Linked DNA regions of Astyanax mexicanus. The protein of the gene in region 1 binds, or shares a complex with, the protein of each later gene. Links are inferred from orthologs where the notes say so. Each region holds a gene or a part of one and is shown on either strand. Other genes may lie near its edges.

Region 1 (11,919 bases):
AACTCTACCTCTTCAAACCTATTATCTCTTGACGAGTTCAGCACAGCTGTTAACTGTATAATGTAAAATATAAAACATTCTGGTTTGTAACACTTTTTTTATTTACTAAATAATTGAATATGCTTTTATTCAGTTATTCTCTTTACCTGGCAGTGGTATAGAGTACGTACCTGAGGAGGGAGCTGTGAGAGCTGATACACCGTAATAAGTAAAAGCTCCATTCTCAAACTTCAGACCTTCTTTACCAATCTCCACCTCCACACGACCCTACACACACACACACACACACACACGCACACACTTTATTGTGTGTTATTGCACAGACAGCGTGAGACAGTAGAGAACACACACTGCAGTGGAAAGATCTGGAATGTGTTTGACTGGACTATATTATCAGCTCTGAGTTTAGAGCAGATAAACAGATCTGCATTAAAATACATCATTATCACCTTACAAAATAAATAAATAAATTTGATTTGATTTATGTTTGAGTAAAATGAACATTGTTGTTTTATTCTATAAACTACAGACAACATTTCTCCCAAATTCCAAATAAAAATATTCTCATTTAGAGCATTTATTTACAGAAAATGAGAAATGACTGAAATAACAAAAAAGATGCAGAGCTTTCAGACCTCAAATAATGCAAAGAAAACAAGTTCATATTCATAAAGTTTGTATAGAGGTTGTATAAAATACATTTACTCTGAGCACTAAACTTCAGTTACTGAAAACAACAGCAGATTTCTGAGAACTCTGAGGCGTTTCATCATCCTGTTAAAGTAACTCAACAACCCTCAGAGGCCGAGGTCCTGCTAACCTCCTGCTGGAGCTGCGACCTGAGACGACATGCTGGTACAAGTTTAACAACTCAAACATTTCAGCAGAGTGAACAAACCCCTCTGCTTCTGCTTCAACTACATGATTTCACACCAAACACACTGCACTACTATACACACTATTACACACACTGCTATAGACCTGTATCATTTGGGTATCGGTACTGAATTTAATTTTAAAACAATACCCAGCCCCAGAAGCTAATTCTGACGTTTTGTTCCTATACTGTAAAATAACTCAGGTGGGTAATTATGGCGGGTCTACCTGCAGCAGTAGGATGAAGTAATCCACAGGGTGGTTCCGGGTGTAGAGGTAATGATCTGGACTCAGACGGTTGTTTGGGTCAAACTTCACCTCCTGGTTGACGCTCGGGTGCCGCAGGAGATGAAATAAGACTTTCTCTGAAACTCGCTGTGGACTGAAATGCTCCACCTCTGTAACAGAGAGGAAAAAACAGGATTATTAATAATCATAACTGTGTTTTTATTACTCATAAACTGCAGGAGAAACGCAGATCTGTGTTTCTGTATTCTGTAAGAGTCTAAACTGCAATTCTGAACTGATAAGAGCTAAAGATAAGAACACTGAGGAGCTGCAGGATTACTCAACCTGTTCTTTATAGACTGCTTATTACTAAACATGGTGTGCCATATTATGCGTGCCATACTGCATTATAATGTGCATTATCAACAAACATCTGTTTTCTGATCTATTTTTTTATACATAAGACACACTGGATTATAAGGTGCATTTCAAGTGGCACTAGTAAGGAACATGGGTGTAACCATGCTTCCCTTCTAATTCAGCAAAAAACATTTATGTGTGTATGTAAAGTGCTTCCTTTTATTTACAGCAAGCTTACATTTCCAATATATAACAGTGCAGTTAGCAGCAGCGCTAGCCATGGTTCGCAGTGCTTAGCGCTAGTTAATGCCACCCAAAAGTGCTACAATGAGAAACTACAATGCGTAAACATGCAGACTACAGTCTACTAAACTCATCTCTGTACAGCGAAAGAGCTAGCACTATGGTTAGCGGCTAATGCTAATACTGTTCCAGCCTTAGTGCTGGAGAAACTTCACTGAAAACTCACCCTTATAACGCTGTACTAAGATATTAAGAGCATCTTAAAGTGTGAAAAATACAGCACATAACCTCCACATATTTCAGTTAAATATAATGAAATTTGTAAAAATATGAAAATCATTGTTATGTAAGAGAGTTCTTTACAAGTTTTCAGAAGTAAATCTAGTCTATTTACTAAGATTCACTCTGCAGCTTCTGTATGTAAAGTAATTCAATTAATCTATTCAATTAAATTAATATTCCAGCTGAAGCTCAGTGTTTCCACACCTCTGGAGAGGAAGCGGTGTGTGGCCAGCAGGAGCTGAGGAGACGTGCGGATCTTGGGTTCTCCTTCCGGTGGTTTAAAGAGCGAGAACTCCTCCTGACTCGAGCGAGGCTCCAGAGGAATCTCCAGCGCGGCGGCGGGACGCTTCACCTTCATATTCACTGCAGGACATGAAGACACTCCATCAGAGAAACACTCTACACACCATCTCTCCACACCACCACACACTGACCCAACAAACTCACGCTTTATTCAGTGCTTTATGACTACACACTGAGATGTACAGTTTATCAGTTCAACAACGGCATTGGATATACATCATTGTTTTTTCAATATTGCTCAGCCACATAGCTTTACAACACAAATCAGATTTTTGCAGGCAGTAGATGTGCTCTGTTCTAAGCTTCACATGTACAGGTTATACTTACTGTAGCCATCAGACTCATCCAGGATCTCAGACTTTATGATCTCCTCTATAACGTCCTCCAGAGTAATCAGTCCCAGAACCTCGTAGAACGGGTCTCCCTCCCCCTCATTATTCACCCTCTGCACTATAGCCAGGTGAGAGTTTCCTAGAAAAAAAGAAATAAAACTAAATTACAGCCAACAGTGTTTTTTTTCATTATTTATGTCAAATGTTTGTGGACACTCCTGCTAATAAATGCAATATTCAACTATTTTTGTGTGTGTGAGTGTGTGTTTCTATGCATGAAGTGATTTCCGCCCAACACAAGTACGATACACTGCCTGGCCAAAGAAAAAGTTTCCAACAACAAAAAAAATTCTAATATTTAGCTGAACCATCTTTATCTTTGATTGTGTGACTTTGCATTCACTGTAGCATTGTTTCAATAAGCTTCTGCAACGTCACAAGATTTATTTATTTCAATCCAGTTTTGCATTAATTTTTTTATCTGTGCAGTCTGACCACTGCACAAAGCAGCTCTTCTCCATCCAGCACATCCCAAAGATTCTCAATGAGGTTAAGATCTGGACTCTGTGGTGAACTCTCTCTCAATCCATGTGTGAAAATGATGATCTCATGCTCCCTGAACCCTGAACTCTTTCACAATTCCAGCACCATCAATCCTGATATTATTCATCTTGGAATATGAAGAAAAATTAATGGAAGAACCTGATGGTTTCCATTGATGGAAGAAGAACCTGGTCTATATTCAGTATATTCCTTTGCTGAACCTAAACCTGCAGACAAACTGCAGCATCAGGTCCAGATTATTTACTTATTTTTGGACAGGCAGTGTATTTATTACATTTGTGTTGTGTTATCTTGCCATGTTTTGTTTTGTTTTGTCTGGTCATCATCAAAATCTCCAACATCTCAAACTACCTCAGTAATCTTTACTGAATGCAACACCACACAACCCCAGGTATCCAAACACTTCTGCACACCTGTGGTTGGTCCCACCGCCTCACCTTTCTTGAACTCCTCCAGCATGGCGTCCAGCTTGGTGTCGTTGAAGACGAAGTGCAGCGGGTGGTTGTAGAACTTGGTGATGGTGGTCATGGGGGTGCAGTCCTCCGGGTCCACCAGGGCCAGGTCCTTCACGTACAGGATCTCCACGATGTTGGAGCGCTCCTCCTCGTAGACGGGCACGCGCGTGTATCCGCTCTGCATGATCTCGGACATGGTTCCGAAGTCCAGCTGGGCGGTGGAGGGCAGCATGAAGCAGTCCTTCAGCGGGGTCAGGATGTCCTCCACGGTCTTGCTCCTCAGCGCGCCGCGCCGGAACTCCTCCTTCACGAACTCGCTGTACGGGTCGTTGACGTTGGAGCGGACCATCTCCATCACCTTCTCGCGCACGCCGCACGTGCTGACGTCGCGCCGCAGCGCCACGTCCAGGAGCACGCCGAGCGGACAGGTGAGCGGGCAGGTGAGCGCCAGGCACACCTGACCCAGCCAGATCAGACCGGGGGCGAGGTGGAAGCCGTAGCCCGAGCTGATGATGTGCGGGAGCAGCTCGGCCAGGAGGAACAGCAGGGCTCCACACGTGAAGACCGCGGGCAGGATGGAGCCGAAGGCCCGGTAGAGGAGCACGCCGAGCGCGGAGTGACCCAGCGCGGTCAGGAGGAGCAGCGAGCACACCAGGAAGTTACCGCGTCTCCGGAGCGGCTCCAGGCGCTTGGCCGCCCGCCTCTCGTCCTCCGCGCCGCAGCTGTGGAGCACGTAGAGCTCGAGGGGGTCGAGACAGAGCAGACTGAGGCTTAAACTGCGAATCAGAGCACAAATAAACACCAAGGCTGCTATAATTACCGATAAAGCCCAGGTAGGGATCCAGTCTGGGGGTAGCTTTGGCTCAGGCTTTAGCTCTGGCTCCGGCGCCTTCAGCTGGAATCTATCCGCCCCCAGCGACTCCCAACCCGGCCCGCTCAGCACACACAGCCGGTGCAGAGCGCCCGCGCTGGAGGCGTCCCCCTCCGCGGTGCGGACCTCCAGCACACCGCTGCTGTCTTCATCCGCGGAGAACTCCCCCTCCACACGGAATATAGAAGAGTTCCTCAGGATCTCCTGCCTGCATGGGTCCTCCTCCTGTTCCTTTACTGGACCGGGACTGGAACTAGGACCATCAGAACCAGAGGCACCAGCAGCAGCAGGAGCAGCAGGAGGAGGAGGTGGTCCAGGTTGGGAGTTGAAGTTCTCCACTCCCGCCTCCCGAGCGAACGCGAGCCACGGCCAGCTTGCATTGTTATTACTATTATTATTAATAACATTATTATTTTTAACCAGAAACAGCAGCTCAGATCCAAACAGCCTCAGCCTGAATCCAGACCCCGGAGCAGCGAACAGAACTCGCCCGCGCATGTACACCCGCCTGCCGGCCTCCTCCTGCAGCTGCCCCCCCTGCTGCACCTCCAGCACCTCCTCCAGCCGCAGACCCACCAGCCTCTGGGCGCTGCCCCCCAGCAGCAGCGGGATCAGGAGAAGCAGCAGCAGCGGGAGCAGCGACCGCCGCACGACCACCATATTGGATTCGGGCAGCTCGCCTCTCCGCCCCGCCGATCATGTGACCCCCGCCCGCCTACCGTCACCCTCCTACCGCCGCGGAAAACAGCGGCAGAAACGTCCTCACCGGCGGAGCCATGGCGAAACACGGGGCGGGGAAAAACACGATAATAATACACCGATTCCTCCTCCAGCGGCTCGGGGACTCCTAACCCCCGGTACGGCGGCGGCCCGCTCTCCGCAACCCCAACAACAACAACCGGGGCTCCTCAACTCTCCGCTTCTCGGGCGGATCTACGTCGAATGCTTCACCCGACCAATCAGATTACAGCATTGTTAGCCACCAATTGGAAAAAGGAACGACACAAGAAAACCCCGCCCCGTTTGAGCGTGTCGAGTCAGGTCAGAGTGAAATATAAACACTGTATATTCAAAATTCAATATATATTTTTATTGTCACTAGTGTGCAAATGAAAATATTTACAACATAGAGTAGAATAATAAAATAATATAATACACAGTATACACACAATACACACCAAAGTCATATTGATATATGGTATTGTACTGTAGATATATATTTTAATGTTACTGGATATAAAACAATACAATGCTATATAGATGCGCTGATATCTGTGTGTGTGGAAGTGCAGAGATAGTCCAGTATGTGACAGAGTAATAATGAATAAAGTGCAGAACTGCAGGAACAGAATGAGTTGTGTAACCTAACTTAATCCAGCAACACTGTTCGTACATTTAACCTCAACCATCACATTGTAAAATATTTCACCCGACCACTGCAGACTACTGGTATTTTAACCTCTGCATCACTCTAAAATACATTATTAATGGCTCACAATTATGTTTAAGTTTTATGTACAGTGATCGGTTGCAACAGTGTTATGGAAGCAAAAACAAATAGCCATTAGTTTCTCTGACTGGAATTTATCTACAGGAAAGCATTTAGTGATTGCTGATAGATTTTCTTGTGTTGGTTATTGGACTAAAATGGAATTTAATGTTTAATATAAGAATCACTTGTTCACCATTCCCAAGGTGGCCCCTATTGAAAAGTTTGGAGACCCTTGTCTTACATCTATAATGCTTTTTAATTTTGTCGGGGAAAAAATCATTATCAATACGTTCAATTATCATTAGTATTAGTCTGAATTAATTTTTATATGAGGCTGGACTTTTTATTAGTCAGAAATACTAGTTCTCTATTTTGTCCCAATACTTTATCTTTTCCAAATATCACAGTTTTGAAAATTCTCTCTCTCTGATATGGTGACAGGTTGCTTGCTAAGGTGTTGCCATGGTATGCCTGTTGGTTGCTTTGGTATGGATGTTGGTTGTTAAGATATTGCCAGGTGGTTACTATGTTATTACATTGTTTGCAAGGTATTGCTATGTGGTTGATAAGGTGTTGTCATACAGTAGCTGTTGGTTAATGAAAGCTTTTATTGGCTGGTTTCCTTATTAAAAACTTTTGTAGCTTTAAACAAGATCTAATACATACACAATAAATACACTGAGAACTGTATTTTTTTTTATAGAGAAATAGATCTCTCAGATTTATTGTCATATTTCATCAGAACTCCTCCAGTATTTATTATAAAACACTATGTACACATTGCTTTAAATAGAACAACCGAAGATACCTGGAGGTACAGTACATTTGCTCGTTACACTCTTCTTCCCTTAACAGAGAAACACAGATCATATATTAATAAATCAAATAATCGAACTCTGTAATAGACATAGATAAAAAAAAAATTAAAGAAGAAGAAAGCCACTTCAAATCTAACCCTCAGAAAAAATAAAACGTACATGTTTCAGGGAGAAAAAAAAAAGAAGAAGAAAAAAAAAAAAAGAGTATCCAGATGAATAAATCATCATTAGCATTGTCCATAAAACTATAACTGAAATATCTTTATTTTGTCAAAGAAAAAAAAAAAACGTAAAGGGTTGCTGTGGTAAATTCATTTTTTAGCAAGTGCATGGAAGACAAGTGTGTTCCTTAGCAATAGTGTGGTTCCTCAGTGGCCAGGAGGGCTGTACTATATGTGCTGTTTGGTGGACGACAAGCCCTTAGCTTTTCTACGAGCTTTTCTACGAGCTAATGTACGACACGCAAACGAGCGTGAGCACAAACAACGAGTAAATCAATTACGCACAGAGGAAAATTCTCCCACATTCATAATCGTTAACCTCCACTGTTCACTAATCATCAAACCGAGAACCGTCCTGCTCCGAGTTACAACTCAACTCTTAACTCAACTCTCAACTCAACTCTTAACTCAACTCAATTTAAGTCTCAACTCTTAACTCTCTGGTGAGTGTGGGAGTGAAACCCTGGCTCTGGAACAGCGGCAGTGCGAATTAGAGCAGATTAGCAGACTGGACCCCGAGCCCGAAGGAATTTCATTAGTTCTGAGCCACGGGAGCCCCTCCCTCCTCCACGTAAACCCAGCCAGGGGGCGGAGCCTCCGTCGTCACGGCGCAGGACGGAGGAGATACAGATCAAAGTGCAAAAGGCTTTGGCCGAAGTGTTTCTGAACTATCTGATACGAGGCGCGGTAACTTTGGTCGTCTTGAGTTTGAGCAGAAATGCATGGTCACAAACCCCCCCTTCCCACCCATCACTCAAAATCTGGACACACCCCCTTCACAACCCCACCAATCAACAATGACTTTTCTTTATTATGATTTTTTTATTTTCCACATCATAGATTAATATTAAAAACATCGGAACTAACTATAAATGATCAAACCTGTTAATTATGAAATAAAAAGAGTACGGAAAGCACCTTCATATTTTTATATGAATTTGCTAAGGTTTTGCTATGGTATTGGTTGCTAAATTGTTGCTAGGTGGTTGCTAAGATATTGCTATAGTATATTGTATTGATATTTTTTTGCTACGGGGTTGCTGAGGTGTTTCTCTGGCAATGATTGCTAAACTGTTGCTGTAGTGTTGATGTTGGTTGCTTGGTGTTTGCTAAGGTGTTGCTATGGTATAAGTGTTGATTACTGTGTTGTTGCTTGGCAGTCAGTTGGTAAGGCATTACTACTAAGTGGTAGCTAAAGTGTTGCTATTGTATAGCTTTGGTTGCTAAGGTGTTGCTAGGAGGATGGTTTGTTATAATCTGTTTGTTTACTGTTTACTACATAATTCATTGTTATTATGTCTTCAGTATTAATCTACAATACAGAAAATAAACATTGAATGAGAAGGGGAGGTGTGCCCAAACTTTTGACTGGTTCAAACCTGAAAGTAAATTCTTGAACACATGCAAACTCAACTGAGGTAACATCTGAACCCGGTCCTTTCCTTGTACAACATTGTTAATTAACCCCTGTAATAATAATAATAATAATAATAATAATAATAATAATAATAATAATAATAATAATAATAATAACTATCGTAACTATTGCTTCTCTTTTAAACCTCTCATAAAGGCAACATAATATTTATAAATAACTGGTATATAAACTATATAAAGACTGGACTGCTGTCCACCGTTACACTGACCAACAACACAAACAAACGGAAAATGGTCAACATAAAATAAAACGTCGCTCACTGTTCATTAGAGCGATTCTTAGCTGATCATGGTGTTTAACTCGCACACATCGCTGGAGAAAACTAGCGTACAGAGTATAAACTGGGGAATTTATTATTATTACTCAGAACTACAGCATGTAGACGATCCTAAATAATCAATACTGAATATTGATTTGATTAACAGGATAAAGGTGCTTTGCCACTGCATGATACCTACACTACTCAACTTAACTCTAACTTAGAGTCTTATTTCACTCTTATTGCACTGTACTCAACTATTCAACTCTACTCTTATTTCACTTTTATTTGATTCAATTTGACTTTTTTAATTTAAATTAACTCAACTCTAATTTGATTTCACTTTACTAGACTCAAACTTGACTTTTGTTTGATTGACCTCGATTCCTATGTGATTCAACTAAACTCCAATTTGACTTATTTTATTTAACTCAACTAATTTTTGACTTTATTAGACTTAAACTTGACTTTTGTTTGATTTAACTTGACTTATATTTGACTTTTATTTGAGTCGACTCAAATTTAGTTTGATTAAATTGTACTATTATTTGACTTTTCGCGACTCGAATTTAACACAGACTGACTCTGATTCCACACTAGTTTGACTGAACTCAACCCTTATTTCACTCTACTTTGTTCACATGAAATATAGGTTCTTTTGTTGGTTCTTTGGTTTACGGAACCTTTCACACCTGCTACTTTGGTTTGGACCAGAGTAAAAAAAAAGTCTAAAAGGAATAAATAAAGTGTAAAAGCATCCGAACGGAAAGTAAAGAAGCTGAATTGAGTTGAGTCGGGTCATGCAGTGTTATAGTATCATGCAGTGGAGGAGAAGCACCGTCTGCTGTGGGAACGAAAGAGAAACTAATGGGGTCATGGTGTTTAACTAAGCTAAAGCTACACACACACACACACACACACTACTGTGTTCTAGTGCAATAAAAAGGGAAATTGAAGCTTTACTGTAATTGATGAGCATCTCCAGCTTCTGATCTGGTGTTGGGGAAGAACGCTACAGGCTGAATTCAGTTCACAGTGGATTCTGTCTCGGCACCAGTAAAGCTACGGCTGGATCACAGGTCTGGAATGTTTTCTTAGTTCTGAACGCCAAGTTATTCTTCTGCATCAAATCAAGACACAGCCACTGTGATTGGTCCAACACACCTAAACACTTAAAACAGCGTAAAGCTACTTGCGCGGGCGATGTCGTAAACTCTGAGTTGACTCCACGCAGAAGAATAAATCGACTCTAATCGTCCCATTTCACTAATAATGACCAAAAATCTCACAAACGTCTTTATAACTGACAATAACATGGTAAAACTATGATTACAGATGTGCTACTGATGCAGTTATATGCTGGAAAGGACTGTGGCTGGTTACCACATCTCTTACTGGACCAATTTCGGCCAATCGTAGCCTCTTATATCTGACGAGGCCGTGTCCACACGTATCCGAATATCTTTTAAAATGATTTTGCTCCAATGAAAGAAAAGCGATTGCATTAGCATGCCAGGCCTTGAGGGGGCGCTAATAGTAATAGCAAATCAGGTAGTTACAGATTCTAAGTGTTCTAAAACAGTATTTTCATTTATTAATATATGTAAATCTGGAATCTAGTGTATTTCTGTGTGTAGACACTGTAGTTTTATTACTTATTTAGTTCACTATATAGGGAGTGAGGAGATTTTTGGGATTCAGCCATAATAAATGTGTATGTTTTGTGATGTTAGCTCTTTTAATAAAGCAACTTCATGAAAACAGTGTTTAAAAGTGTTTAAAAATGCATCGGTTTTAAAAAGCCAATAAATTAGCTATTTTTGTGTGAACTAGAGGCCAAAACACAGACAAAAGCTTTAAAATTTTTTAACATTAATTTTTTTTAAATCCGTGTGGATACGTGTGGAGGAGGCCTTAAATAAACAAAAAACAAAAACAAAAACAAAAAACATACCAAACATACCAAACATACATACATATGCATCTGAACTGAATTTAATTTAGGCAACAATAAAAAATAAATATGGATAAATATTTATATATTTATATAATTTATTTCTATTGCATATATATTTATATTTTTATATAGTATATGATCTACCTAGTGTCTATGTTCTGGGGTTGGATCTCCTCTGCTCGAAGGCTGAAAGTCACTGAATATTGTGAATATTCTGAATAATAAAAATCTCTAAAAGTACCGTCTATTATTTAAACTACGTCAAACCACTTCCTGTTCTTAAAGCTATTTGCATAATAATAAAACAACAACAACAACATCGTCGAAGAGAATGTCCCTCATTTTATCAGGTACCGCTAACATACAGATCCCGAACTGTAGCGCGATAAACCCAAGAGCCTCGGCTCGTATTACAGCTGCGTCCGAACTCCAGCCAATGCACCAATATACCGCGCAATATATTTATATATAAATATATATATATACACGCTACGATATCGGTATAACTACGATAAACTCTACGAAAAAGACGAATCACATAAAAACTCTCTCAATCTCTTTCTATATAACAAATATTGATTGTGCCCAATGGGGCACCATGTTCCCAGCGCCCTCACTGCGTACACTATACGGCCAAAAGTGATGGGACACCTGTCTAGAGAAGACTAGATTTATGGAAGAAGTCTCGCCCATCAATAAAAACAGCCAATCAGCACAAAGAATGGCGGATTAGATTGGAACATGTCCATCAATGTGGAGATCTGCGTAAGTGCAGCAGCAGGAACAAGTGCAAAAATCACTACGTTTTTTGGGGCAAAAAAGTCAAATTTGATCCAGTTTTATCAGTAATTTATAACATATTACTAAAATAGTAATTCGACTCTTAGTGACCCTTAGCACTTCCCTCAATGTGGTTAGTTTAGAGTATTTTGGTCTCTCGCTATTCATAGAAATAGGTAGCTGGTCTTGCATAAGTGGATATATACATATGAGCTAACTGGTGTTTTAAATACAGACAGCAAGTGAAATATATGATCAGTACTGTTGAGGGGTTTATAACCCTTTATAACTCACACCTGACACTATTAGACATGGAGTCAATATCTTTGTGTTTGGGAAGCTTCTCCACAGAGTCCTATTCTATTGGCAGTACTTCTCTCCTACAGTGGGGTGTCCACAAACTTTTAAACATATAGTGTACGTCCAAAAAAACCCTTAAA
Region 2 (12,039 bases), on another chromosome or scaffold:
GCCGGGAAAACTTGGGCCCAAAGGGCTGCCAGGAATCAATGGTGACAAGGGACCTCAAGGTGAGCCTGGGCTACGGGGATTGCCTGGACAACCAGGAGCACCTGGGCCTGCAGGTCTATCATTGAATGGCAAACCAGGGCTCCCAGGAGTTCGAGGTCCACCAGGATCCAGGGGTGAACCAGGTCTAAAAGGTGGCCGTGGTATGCCCGGTGAACAAGGCCTCAAAGGGGAAAATGGCAATGGCAAGATAGGTCCACCTGGCCTTAGAGGTCCAGCTGGCCTTCCAGGAGGTCCTGGGGCTCCTGGAAACCCAGGTGTGGGCAAGCCTGGGCTTAACGGGTTACCTGGACCTCTAGGACCAAAAGGGGACCAAGGAATTCCAGGCCTTCAAGGTCTTCCTGGGGATGCTGGGCCTCCAGGACTGCCAGGGCCAGCTGGGCAAGCTGGGTTGGGAAAGCCTGGGATTGATGGTGTTCCTGGAAGACCAGGTCCAATAGGACCAAAAGGTGAACCAGGCCTTAGGGGGACTCCTGGGTTTCCTGGAGCTCCTGGCTATGGTAAACCTGGCCTTTTAGGACAGAAAGGGGACAGGGGTCCTGCTGGATTACCAGGTGCTGTTGGTGATAAAGGTGAACCTGGCATGGATGGTCTACCAGGTGATGTTGGGGTAAATGGGCAGCCAGGACCTCAAGGTCTGCAAGGTCCAATGGGTCTTCCAGGAAAGCATGGCATGCCTGGTCTGAAAGGAGAATTGGGTCCTCAAGGGCCTCCAGGTTTGCCAGGGCTCAGAGGAGATCAAGGTCCCGGTGGTTTGCCAGGAAAGCCTGGTATGCCGGGGGATAAAGGGCTTCCAGGGCCAAATGGAGCCATTGGAAAACCAGGGCCTAAAGGCGAAGCAGGTCACACTGGTTTCCCTGGTAATCCAGGCTTGATTGGAGTACCAGGTCCCAAAGGAGAAAATGGTTTTGTTGGGCCCCCAGGACCACGTGGCCTATCTGGAATTCCAGGTCTACCTGGACCAACAGGACATATGGGACCACAGGGCATTCCTGGGTTGAAAGGGGAACAAGGTCTACCAGGGCCACCAGGAAATGGAAAGAATGGGGACCAGGGATTAACCGGTCCACAGGGACCGCCAGGAAAACCAGGCCCTCCTGGAATAAGTGGTACTCAAGGCCCTCCAGGTCCTCCAGGTCCTCCTGGCCCTCCGGGCCCAACTAACGGAGATACAACAGTGGCAGGGCTCCAAGGTCCTGATATTGGGGGAGAAACGATAACAAATCCAGGTGCTGGAAAACCACAGTTTGGTGTCGGTGAGCTTTCTGCCACAATGGCTCCAGCATTTACTGCCATCCTCACTACACCTTTCCCACCTTCTGGTATGCCCATTAAATTCGACAGGACTCTGTACAATGGACAAAATGCTTACAATCCCACTACTGGTATCTTCACAAGCCCACTGCCTGGAATCTACTACTTTGCTTATCACGTTCACGTAAAGGGAACCAGCCTGTGGGTGGCACTGTACAAAAACAATGTGCCTGCCACATACACCTATGACGAATACAAGAAGGGTTATATGGACCAGGCGTCAGGCAGTGCAGTGTTGGAGCTGAAGGAGAACGACCAGGTTTGGGTGCAGATGCCATCTGACCAAGCAAATGGGCTTTACTCCACCGAGTACATCCATTCATCCTTCTCAGGGTTCCTTCTGTGCCCTACATAACAGTTTATATGATCCATCGTTTATTGTTCCAGCGCTCTGCGGTCACTCAAGTACCACCTGTAACATCGATAACAGGAAAGACTGAACACCAGAAAAGCCTAGATGAAAGCAGGAGATGGAAACTTTATGCTGTGTCCATGTTTTAGCCTTTTCAAATGTCTGATTTGATTTTTGTTTTCCTTCAAGTGTTTTTGGTATCTTCAGCCTATATTATAATGTTATTATAACTGTTATATTATTATTGTTGCTGTTGTTGTGTTATTTTAATTGATGTTGTTGTTTATCGGAATCAGACAATGTGTAAGTAACAGTTTTACCCATGTGACTGCACACTTTGCCAAATGTTCTGACTCCCATTGAACTCCATTTCTTTCGACTCTGGGGTTGTGTGTTCCCCTGGCTGCAGTCACATTCAGCTCAAGCTCTTATTTTCAATCATTTTCAACAACATTTCCTCTTTACTACCCTGACGGTTTTAAGTTTACTCTAGGGAGTAAAGTCTTAACTCTAGGCCAAATGTCATAAAATATGTTTTGTTTACTATGTGTTACAGTTACAATTTGTTGCTAATGTGCCTAAATCAGTGATATACGTGGAGAGTATTGTCCTTATCCTTGAAGTGAAAAGTTTTAGAATATTATTTTGAACAGAAAATCAGTCTGAAATTCTAGTCTGAAACATTACAAAATAATACACAAGTATTATCTCCCTGTATTGCTGGCATTTATATATTTTTAAGAAGATATTTAGATGAACTGTTAATGGATTAACTGTCTGAGTGTAAAGACATAATGAACTCTAACCTATGCATTTGATCACAGTATGTTCAAAGGTCATTACAGTTCTGAAACTTATATTGTACTTAACATCGTATTAAATAGTGGACATTCATTTTTGAATGTTTTAATCATCTACACACTTAATTCCATTTAAGATTCTTTGGTCATTCAAATTAGTTAAAGTTGAACATCAAGAGCTTTTTTCCAGAACTTGAAGACATGGCCCATGTCATGTGAACTGTGTCTTTCGCCTTATTGAACATTTAACAAATTAATTACTGGGCATTGTGCACAACATCCCAGTTTATTATTCAGATGTTCTGTTCATTGCTTTCAATGCTCGCACAAAGAAGACTTGATCATGAATTATTCAGGCAGATATTGAATGATTAGTTCATAGTAATGAACAGATTAAATAAATGCACTGGATCTGTCGAACAAAAATGATTATTGCAACTCATCCCTATTTGTTATAAAAGGTTTTCAGAAACAAATAAGAACATGCATATGCAGACCGTAACAATGAACACAAAATTAATTATTGACCCTGAGTTGGCTGTAAAATAAATTGTCGAGTTGTTATTCCCAAATAACCCCTGAATTACCCATTGGGTTTGTCACGTATTGCAAAATTGAGCCAAAATGTTGCTGTTGTTTCATCTGGTGCTAGTGATATCTTAAAAGAAGCGTTATATTACAACTACATCATTCATAAAGCTGGAATTACTGTCATAACAAACTGATTCCAAAGTGTGCCAACTGTGGTGATATGTAACAGTTATTCACCTTTTATCCCCTTTTGGCTGTTCTCAGTGTAGCCAGTCAGCAATTCTTCATTGCTTTTCTCTGTTGTTAAAATATTTACCTCCCCCCAAAATATTACTGCATTTAAGACAAGAGCCAATCATTTCATCTATCCATATCCTATAGCCATTTCCATTAATTTTTTCACAGAGAGCTTTGATTTTTAAAATTTGATTCGCTCCATCTTTAATGTCAGTATAAACAGAGGCTTTGAAATCAGCGTATATATTTTTAAATGAAATCAATAAAAAATTGTCAGGTAGATTCATTGTACTGTTTCCCCTCAGATCTGCTAGACTCGGTTTTCCTTTCATTTTCATGCCAAGAAAATTCTTGCTTCGGTTTGTAAGGGATATTTGTTTGTTACGGACAAGATAAACACAAACAACCCGTCCCATTTGCACATTAGCGTAATGAAGGTGTATTTATACTGTACATATGTGATGAATCAGCAAGAATGTCTGCCTACCGAAGCGTCCATTGAAATAACGTACAAATAAATATATATAACAGCATTGACAAGTTACGAGTATTGTAGTTAGCATACTACCGTCGTTAAAGGAATATTTTGTCGACCTTTACTTCTTTTATTTTTTTTGTATGTACTACGTATCAGATTATAGGGTTCTGTTTTGGTTGTTTGATGTATACAGGGCTATTGCATTTATGCTGTGCAATAGACTTTGGGTATTAAATGCACTCTTTTGACTGAAAATGTTTTGTCAGCTTATAAGAAATCTGCAGTACTTGATAGTATTGATACAATATCAATAAAGATTTTCTTGTACAAATACTGTATATGTTGGTGTTCTTGACTGTGACTACAGTGTTCTATGTTAGCAGGTCATTTTAACCTATCAGCACCTATGTTCACTGTGAATATTTACCCATGTTTGCCTTTTCTCAAGATATCATTATCTTTATATTTGCCTGCCAAAAATACAGCATGATAAACTGTATGCATCATAACACTCTGTTTTCTGGGGATTTCATTAGAGGGACAAGACAAAAAGAACCTGTATTGCCAGCCGTATGAGTTGACTCAGCACAGATAACATGCCCATGCAGGGCCTTTATGGGTAGCCCAGCTGGGAAACAGAATGTTTTGTACATGGGTGATATGTTGGCCCAGCATATTGTTGCTGTCCAATGAAAAACATGTATCTCCAAAACAGCAACATTACAATAGAGGGATAAAACCTTCTTAACTTTAACTTTGGAAGTCAATGTAAATAAAAAGTCATGTACAAACCCACTCAGACTTATGCCCACCCGAAACCCACCTAGCTCACATTCCACCCATGTAAGCCCAGCATGAGCATGCAGGATGAGAGGTTACCTCTAGATACTCAGTACTTCCAGAAAATAGCAATACATATAATACACATAAATACGTGTAATAAACAGAAAAACATCTAATATTACATTTATAACAGTTGAAGCCACGTGATATATTGAACATATTGAACATACTGAACATCCTTCAGTCCGCATCGTGTATCTGCGTGCTTCATGTGTTCCAGTCACTAGAATGACTCACACAGGCCTCTCTCTCTCTCACACTGTTCTCTCCTACTGTATGTGTGTAACACGTTTTCATTCAGACACGCTGTGCGTAAACCCGTATCAGACGATCACTGGAGTTAATAGAAGACAAGGTCCTATAGAAGAACTCCGTCAGTACAGTTTAGGAGATAATTATAACTCCTATTCGTGGTCACTGTCACACTCCTCCCCGGTGAGACATCACCAGACTGTCAACGGGCGCTTTGCGTAAACCTGACGTCACGTCGCCTCCGGGTAGACCCTCCCCTTCAGTTTCAGCGGAGAAGCTGCCGAGGATTCGGTTCTGTTCAGTTCAGCCAAACGATTCTTTCGAAAGAGCTGTTTTAAAGAGTCGAGCATATGATTCACTAATTCACCAGCCAAGTCTGACCTGTAATCTTAAATAGAATATGAATGAATATGAACAGGAATACATATATATGATAAATAAGGTGAGTGTAACAACTTGAAGTAAAAAAAAAAAAATGAACCTGTATATAAAAATAGATATATACAGTATGGGTTTAAATGTTTGTAAACGTCCCTCATAATGAATACATTCAGATACTAACTAAGTTGCATCCATTGTTGATACAGTTGTTCAAATGCACACATGCAAACATGGGATGAGGTAAGGTCTTTAAAATAAATTGGGAGTTTGGGATGAGTTAGGGTGTTTGGGATACGTTCGGGGTTTGGAATAAGTTGGAGATTTGGGATGAGGTAGAGTGTTCGGGATAAGTTGGGGGGTTGGGAATAGGTTGGGGATTTGGGAAGAGGTAGGGTGTGTGGGATAAATTGGGGGGTTTGGGATGAGGTAGGGTGTTTGGGATAAATGGGGGTTGGGAATAAGTTGGGGGTTTGGGATGATATAGGGTGTTTGGGATAAATGGGGAGGGTTGGAATAAGTTGGGGGTTTGGGATGAGGTAGAGTGTTTGGGATAAACTGGGGGGGTTGGAATAAGTTGGGGGTTTGGGATGAGGTAGGGTGTTTGGGATAAATTGGGGGTTGGGAATAAATTGGGGGTTTGGGATGATGTAGGGTGTTTGGGATGATGTAGGGTGTTTGGGATAAATTGGGGGTTTGGAATAAATTGGGGTGATTGGAATAAGGTGTGATATGTTTGGTGTTTAGGATAAGGTGGAGTGTTTGGGATAGGTTGCATGGCTTGGGATAAATTGGGGTGTTTGGGATGAGGTAGGGTGTTTGTGATAAATTTGGAGGATTGGGATAAATTGGAGTGTTTGGGATGAGGTGGCTCTTGTCACTAATTTTAATCCCCACAGCAATTCTTCAACATCTAGAAAATTTGGTAGAAGGCCTTCTCTGGACAGTAGAGATTGTTGTTTCAAAGGATGAAAATCCTTTTTTTCTAAATGTATTGAAATGTAAATTTGATCATATTATATATTAATAAAATAAATAAAATGCAGTGTTTACTCTAGTTCATTTTCATGGATTCAGGTGGCTAAAATATTTTTACAGTTGGACAGAATAAATGAACAGTTCTAATAACATTATGCTTTTTATATCAACTAAGCAGAATAAGCCACTGCTTTTGCAGGAAAAACAGTAAATGAGCAATTCAAAAAGAGATTTTACCTTTAATTTTCACAACATCAGGTGTATTTGTGTTAGTGCTTGGCCTGGTATACTTCAGTTCTTTAGTTGCATAGGCCCTACAATTGAATTCACAAGTTTCTGTATTAGTAATAATACCAAAATACATTTCCTTTTAATATTTTATTTTTTATTTATAACGTTTTGGTTTGTTCATGGGTGGTTTGAGAACCACTGGGTTAGAAAATGCTAGAATAGTCGATAGATTCATTTGGCAAGTGTGAGTCGGTTCGACTCATTGAAAAGAACCGATTCAAATCTAAGCTTCAGTCTCGAGTCCGGAGGTCGCTACGAGAAACTCACTTTTCAGTGTGAAGTGTGAAGAGGAAGGAGAGCCTGCAGAGCGGTTACCGACTCCGATCCACTTTCTCCGGCGATTCTCACGGGATTTCAATGTTCAGCCTGTTTTTTGTAAGTAGCTGTGACTCATTACTCACAGGATAATATGTTTGAAAAGTGTTTAAAGGCTGTTAATGTTTTTTTCTTTGATAAAGGCAAACTGTTGTTCAGGAGCCTTTGTGGCTAGTGGCTAAGTTAGCTAGCGTTAGCTAAGAGCTAGCCTAGGTTAGCCAGCTCGTATTAACAGTTAGTGTTGTCTATTATAGCCGGACAGCTAAAGTGCCTGAAGAAAGCCAGGCGGGTCAGCTTGCTAGCTTGCTTGCTAGGTTAGCTAAGATAGCTTAGCACACTAGCTAACATAGCTTGCTAATGCTGAAATGTGGCAGCCATTTGCGCGAGCACGACACGTTTTGGAAGCGGCAGATATTAATCTAAGTTAGCTGACGGTCCATTTAACCTGTTTTTTGAGTAAATAATGACTGTAGTTTGTTATAAATAAGATGACAGTGTGGTGTTTTCATGCTGAACTCGTTTATTAATGTCTCTCTTTGCCGTTTAGTCACAGCATTTAATCTGGCTAGTTTAGGTGGTTACCTAGCTAATGTTTAGGAGAGGTGTCATCAATCCAGATCCAGGAAACGAAAATCCACCCCCGGTATTTTGCTCTAACTGCCTGTACGGCTTTTGTGTTGCTGCTGCCTAGCGGTTCGCAAGGCAGTTGGAGCAAAATCACGGAATGGATTTTTACTTTCTAAACCTTGATATATGCTGGAATGTGACAGTATATCCACTTTCTTTACAAATAGTGTTTTATTTAATTTAGTTGATGTTTTTTTTTATTTATGATGATTTAAAATTGATTCTATTCCAATTCTAGTGTCTGAGTGAGATAGTGGATCATAGCCAGATAGTTAATTGTAATGTGTACATTTATAACTATAGTAGCTATAGTAGCTAGCTATTATGTTATCAGTAACTTTGCCAGTGGCATGAAATGTCTTAATATTACAGTTATTAAATATAATCAAAAATAGGTTATTGTGACAGACACATGGGTGGATTTTGAGTTTCTGGACCTGGATTGACCAACGTTGCTTTTTAGCTAGCTTATAGCGACCTAACCATGCGTTCTGGTGTTGGCTAGAAAATAGCTGGAGATACTGGCTTGTATACTTGTGTGTACGGATTAAATTGGAGTATTTTCCAGTTCTCGATCACGTTTTCGAGGTTAAAACATCTAGTAAGTCCGTGTGAACGACTGTGACATCGCAGCAGCCGGTTAATAACGTTATTTCCAGCTAGCGCTGGCTAGTGCTTGCTAAATAGCTAGCTTCAGCTAACTTGGCTTACTGAATCAGATGGCTTGTGTCCTCACCCTGTTGTTCGCAGACATACTAACTAACTAGCTTAAGTAACGTTAGTTAAATTAGCTTGAGTGAACCTAACTCTGGCTGCCTGTTAAGTTAACTGATTTGCTAGGAAAACTGTCAATGTTTCTGAAATTAGAAGAATTCACTAGTCGTCCAAACAGCAGGCTACCTAGAGAAACGAAGCTAGCTAAGATAAGGTGTGTAGAGAAACAAACATCACGATGTTCTTCCTCCGTCTCCTCTCTTCTTTTTGGCTTAACTCAATAGTTAGCTATGCGGGAACACCCGAACAGCGCCCAATTTCCCTCGGTCTTCTTTCATCCTCGGGAACACAAATTGCGAACAAGTGTTGAGGACAGACATGCCCGGGCATGAACAAGGGCTTATTGCTATTAATGAAGAGCTGAAGCACAAGATAAGGCCTTGAATACAACACATCTAACAGCTATGTTATTTATAACGGGGTTATAAAGGTAAAATGTGATTAGGTTTGATAGGTTTTGGCTAAGGATACTAGACCAGCTAGGTACAGTTGAACACCAGCGAACTTAAAAGTTCTCCATACAGATAATAAAGGTTAGCCTTCCACTGTTTGGTTAATCAGAATGATTATAATTGCATTGCTCCTTAAAAAGTTATTTGTAAATGTATTATTACACTATTATATTATCATTATATCAGTGGCAAGAAATATCCGCAAAAGCAAAAGTATCTAAATATGATTTTTCTGCCTTGATAGTACTGGGCCTTTGCATAATGCATTGTCCTGGTATTAACAGAAAGTGTTTTGTTAACCTACTTATTTGTGGGCACATTGCACTGTGTTTTGTGTGGTTTGAGTCATTGGGACGGGGTTGTGAAATTGGCAAATGAATATCCCAGGCCCAAATGCCAGGTGGCCTATGTAGGTGTATTCTATGTAGGTGTCTTGCTGGACACTGTTTTTGGGTAGCTAAAGATATGTTTTATCCAGGCAGGAACTAAAGCAATACAAAACACGTGTATGTGAAAAGTACTGGGCTCTGTCTTTTTCCTGATATGTTCTTTAAAGTTTCCATTTCTTCTGTTTCTTGTAGTCTGGTGTTTGGCTTCTATGGGTTTTTGTTACCTCTTTTTTTTCTTTTCTTTTTCTTCAGCCTGACCAGTCGTTCGGGGTGTATTTACATTTTGCTTTGGTGGTGCAACTGGAAATACAGTATAACTGGAAAGAAAACAACAAAACATAACACTGTGGAACAGCAAAATCTACTTAAACATTTACTCTTGTCTTTGGGGTTTTTGCTCACCTGATTGTATTTAGTAAGAGGCTAGAAATGTTAACCTGGCAACACTCTCTCAACCCATGTGCGCTGAGGTTCACTATTAATTTATTGCTAGATTAAATCTGTGGAACATATAGTGTTAATTTGTCACAAAGAGGAAGCTGTACAGTGTCTTTTGTGGTTAAACTTGGACAGACCCTGTTTCTAGAAGTAAGAAAACTAATTTGTAAACTTGCCTAAAGTTTAAAAGCATAAGCCTTCATAAATCATCAACTTGGCATTTAACAGGGCACAGAAATGCTGTGCATTTTAAAAAGAATTTGGCATGTAAGAAGAATAGGTGAAAAGTCTTTGTGAAACAAGGCAAAATTTCTCACTTGAGTCAATACATTAAATAAGTAGCCTTTAATTAAATTAAGTAATGACTCACTGGGCTTAGCTTGAGCGCATACCGGTGTGATGAGGTCATGGACCATAGCAGGCTTCCACATGATGTTCACTACCAAAAACATGTTGAACTAGCATGTGAAAGAACAACAAACATGCAATTCAGGGCTATACCATCAATTTTGTTTTTTTTAAAGAGAAAATTTTTTAAAGAAAAATTCACAATCTAAAAAAATTCCATAATGTATCTACCAGAGACAGGTTATATATTTGATATATATCTGATATATTTGATTTTGTATACGCAGATTGCTTTATCACGATCAACATTATTAATAAAGACCAAAAAGACAAATGAGGTTTGTCTTAACGTAGGGTGATTTTATTACTGTAGTTCTAATTTATACCAAACTTAAACTTTCCTCTTGTTATATTTTCCAGTTTGGTCAGCAATATCAGTATTTTCATCACCACAACGAAAAATCATAGAGATTTTCATAGAGAAAGTTATCATAGTCACTGGTCCCTGGGACCCTGCTTACATTTGTTACTTAATGTATCTTGAGTCTTAGAATTATATCTGAATATGGTCAAGTCACATAAAAATGCAATATGCTTTTAAAACATACAAGTCTCAAAACACTAGCCAGTTCAGGTGGTTATCATTTATGCATTTGAGCCATGTTATGGCAGTGTAAATGCAGTCTCCATCTCCATGCAGAATGCAAATTTGCATATTTCATTTCACATAGAGATATGACTTTAGTATCACAGACAGTACTCAAGACACATTTGACTACCAAGTGTGTCTGGTTAAACTCTTATCTGGATGCAGTCACACATGTTTAGGTGTTAACAGAAGGGTCCAGTATAGTGAAAAAACACAGATGGAAAATGACACAACTGGACACTGAAAGAAAACATCAATTCCCCCATCAGTTAAAGTGGTCCTAATTATCAGTTTTTTTGCTGGTCTGATTGTGTCAGCTATGAGTTGAATGTACTTGCAAGAAGGGGTGCCCAAAAACAACCTGGCCCTAAGTGCCTGGCCCTAAGTAGCTCTAATAGACAGTTGTTTTGTTTTTTAAGTTAGGGTTGTTGTTGTTGTTGTTTTTTTTTTTTTTTTTTTTAAATGAGTTCCAGTGTTACTGTTATTAATTTAAAATATCTGATTATGGTTTTACATTATTAATAAAAACATTGCATTCTGTACTCTTGAAAAAGAAACTGTGATATCAGCTTTACAAATTCTCTGATTCTTTCAACTTCAGTCAGCAGTCATGGGCTCCTCTAGGCAGCTTCCCAGCACATATCAGTAGAAAGACATAAAACTGTAGTTTGTAATTTAATCACCTGATGTCAACTGGAATGGTGGAAGACTAATCAAAGAAGACTAGAAAGACTAATCAAAAGTGTTTCATAGCAAAATACCTTCTGGAGGATAAAGTAGTGTGATGGCCTTACTGTACTCAAAGCAGTACGCAACTGGCAAAGGCATTTCTTTCCCTGGGATTACTGGAAGAATACCTGTGGCATGATTAACTGGGTAACACTTTTAAAAGTTTTAACCACATACTTATGTTTCTTGTTGAGTATTGCTTGGGTTTGAGTTTTGTTGTACACAGACGGGATCTCATGGACTCCTAACAGAAGCATTCTGCACTCATCTTTCAGTATGTTTTACAACTGTGGTCTACTGCCCCTGGTCCAATGAATGACATGTATAATCCAGTTTATGGTTTACTTTCACATTATAAACACAGCAGTAGACCATAAAGACAAATGAGGTTTGTCTTAACGTAGGGTGATTTTATTACTGTAGTTCTAATTTATACCAAACTTAAACTTTCCCCTTGTTATATTTTCCAGTTTGGTCAGCAATATCAGTATTTTCATCACCACAACGGAAAATCATGAACCTACAAATCCCATTTTAATATGCAACTTAACACATTGACTTCCTTTTTACTGCCGCATTTCTGCAGACTTTACAAAAGTATTCTCAGGACTATTTAGCTCTGAAGTACACATCTATTCTGTATTCTTTATTTAGGATGTGGTGAAAGGATGTATATCAGCCTTTCAGAATTGGTCTGATATTACTGTACTGCTTTTTTAAACAAGCTGAATTTGACACCGTGTGTGCTTGTTAAAGTTGTTCATGTAAGTGGCAGCTTCGTCTTTACAGGAAGTGGCAAACTTTGTG

The links.
Region 2: the proteins of metal transporter CNNM3 (region 1) and ptp4a2b are in contact, whole or in part, in a crystal structure (PDB 5K25), measured with the Homo sapiens proteins. The link is inferred for Astyanax mexicanus from reciprocal best matches to the Homo sapiens genes CNNM3 and PTP4A2. Residues at the interface, in NP_060093.3 of Homo sapiens: Leu390, His391, Phe392, Val393, Phe394, Asp396, Thr397, Glu405, Ala414, Gln417, Val419, Glu424, Gly425, Asp426, Pro427, Phe428, Tyr429; in NP_001356788.1 of Homo sapiens: Met1, Asn2, Arg3, Pro4, Asp69, Gly70, Cys101, Ala103, Leu105, Gly106, Arg107, Arg134, Arg135, Gly136, Ala137, Phe138, Asn139, Lys141, Gln142.

What each region holds. Positions count from the first base shown.
Region 1 is NC_064427.1:525,569-537,487, reverse strand, and holds the start of metal transporter CNNM3, read right to left. Parts: upstream 5,466-11,919; 5' UTR 5,175-5,465; coding exon 3,626-5,174; intron 2,764-3,625; coding exon 2,620-2,763; intron 2,353-2,619; coding exon 2,194-2,352; intron 1,275-2,193; coding exon 1,105-1,274; intron 268-1,104; coding exon 171-267; intron 1-170. UniProt on the Homo sapiens protein: Probable metal transporter.
Region 2 is NC_064410.1:46,847,653-46,859,691, forward strand, and holds the start of ptp4a2b (protein tyrosine phosphatase type IVA 2), read left to right. Parts: upstream 1-6,770; 5' UTR 6,771-6,886; intron 6,887-12,039. Other genes in the region: col8a2 (collagen alpha-2(VIII) chain), read left to right, coding at 1-1,726.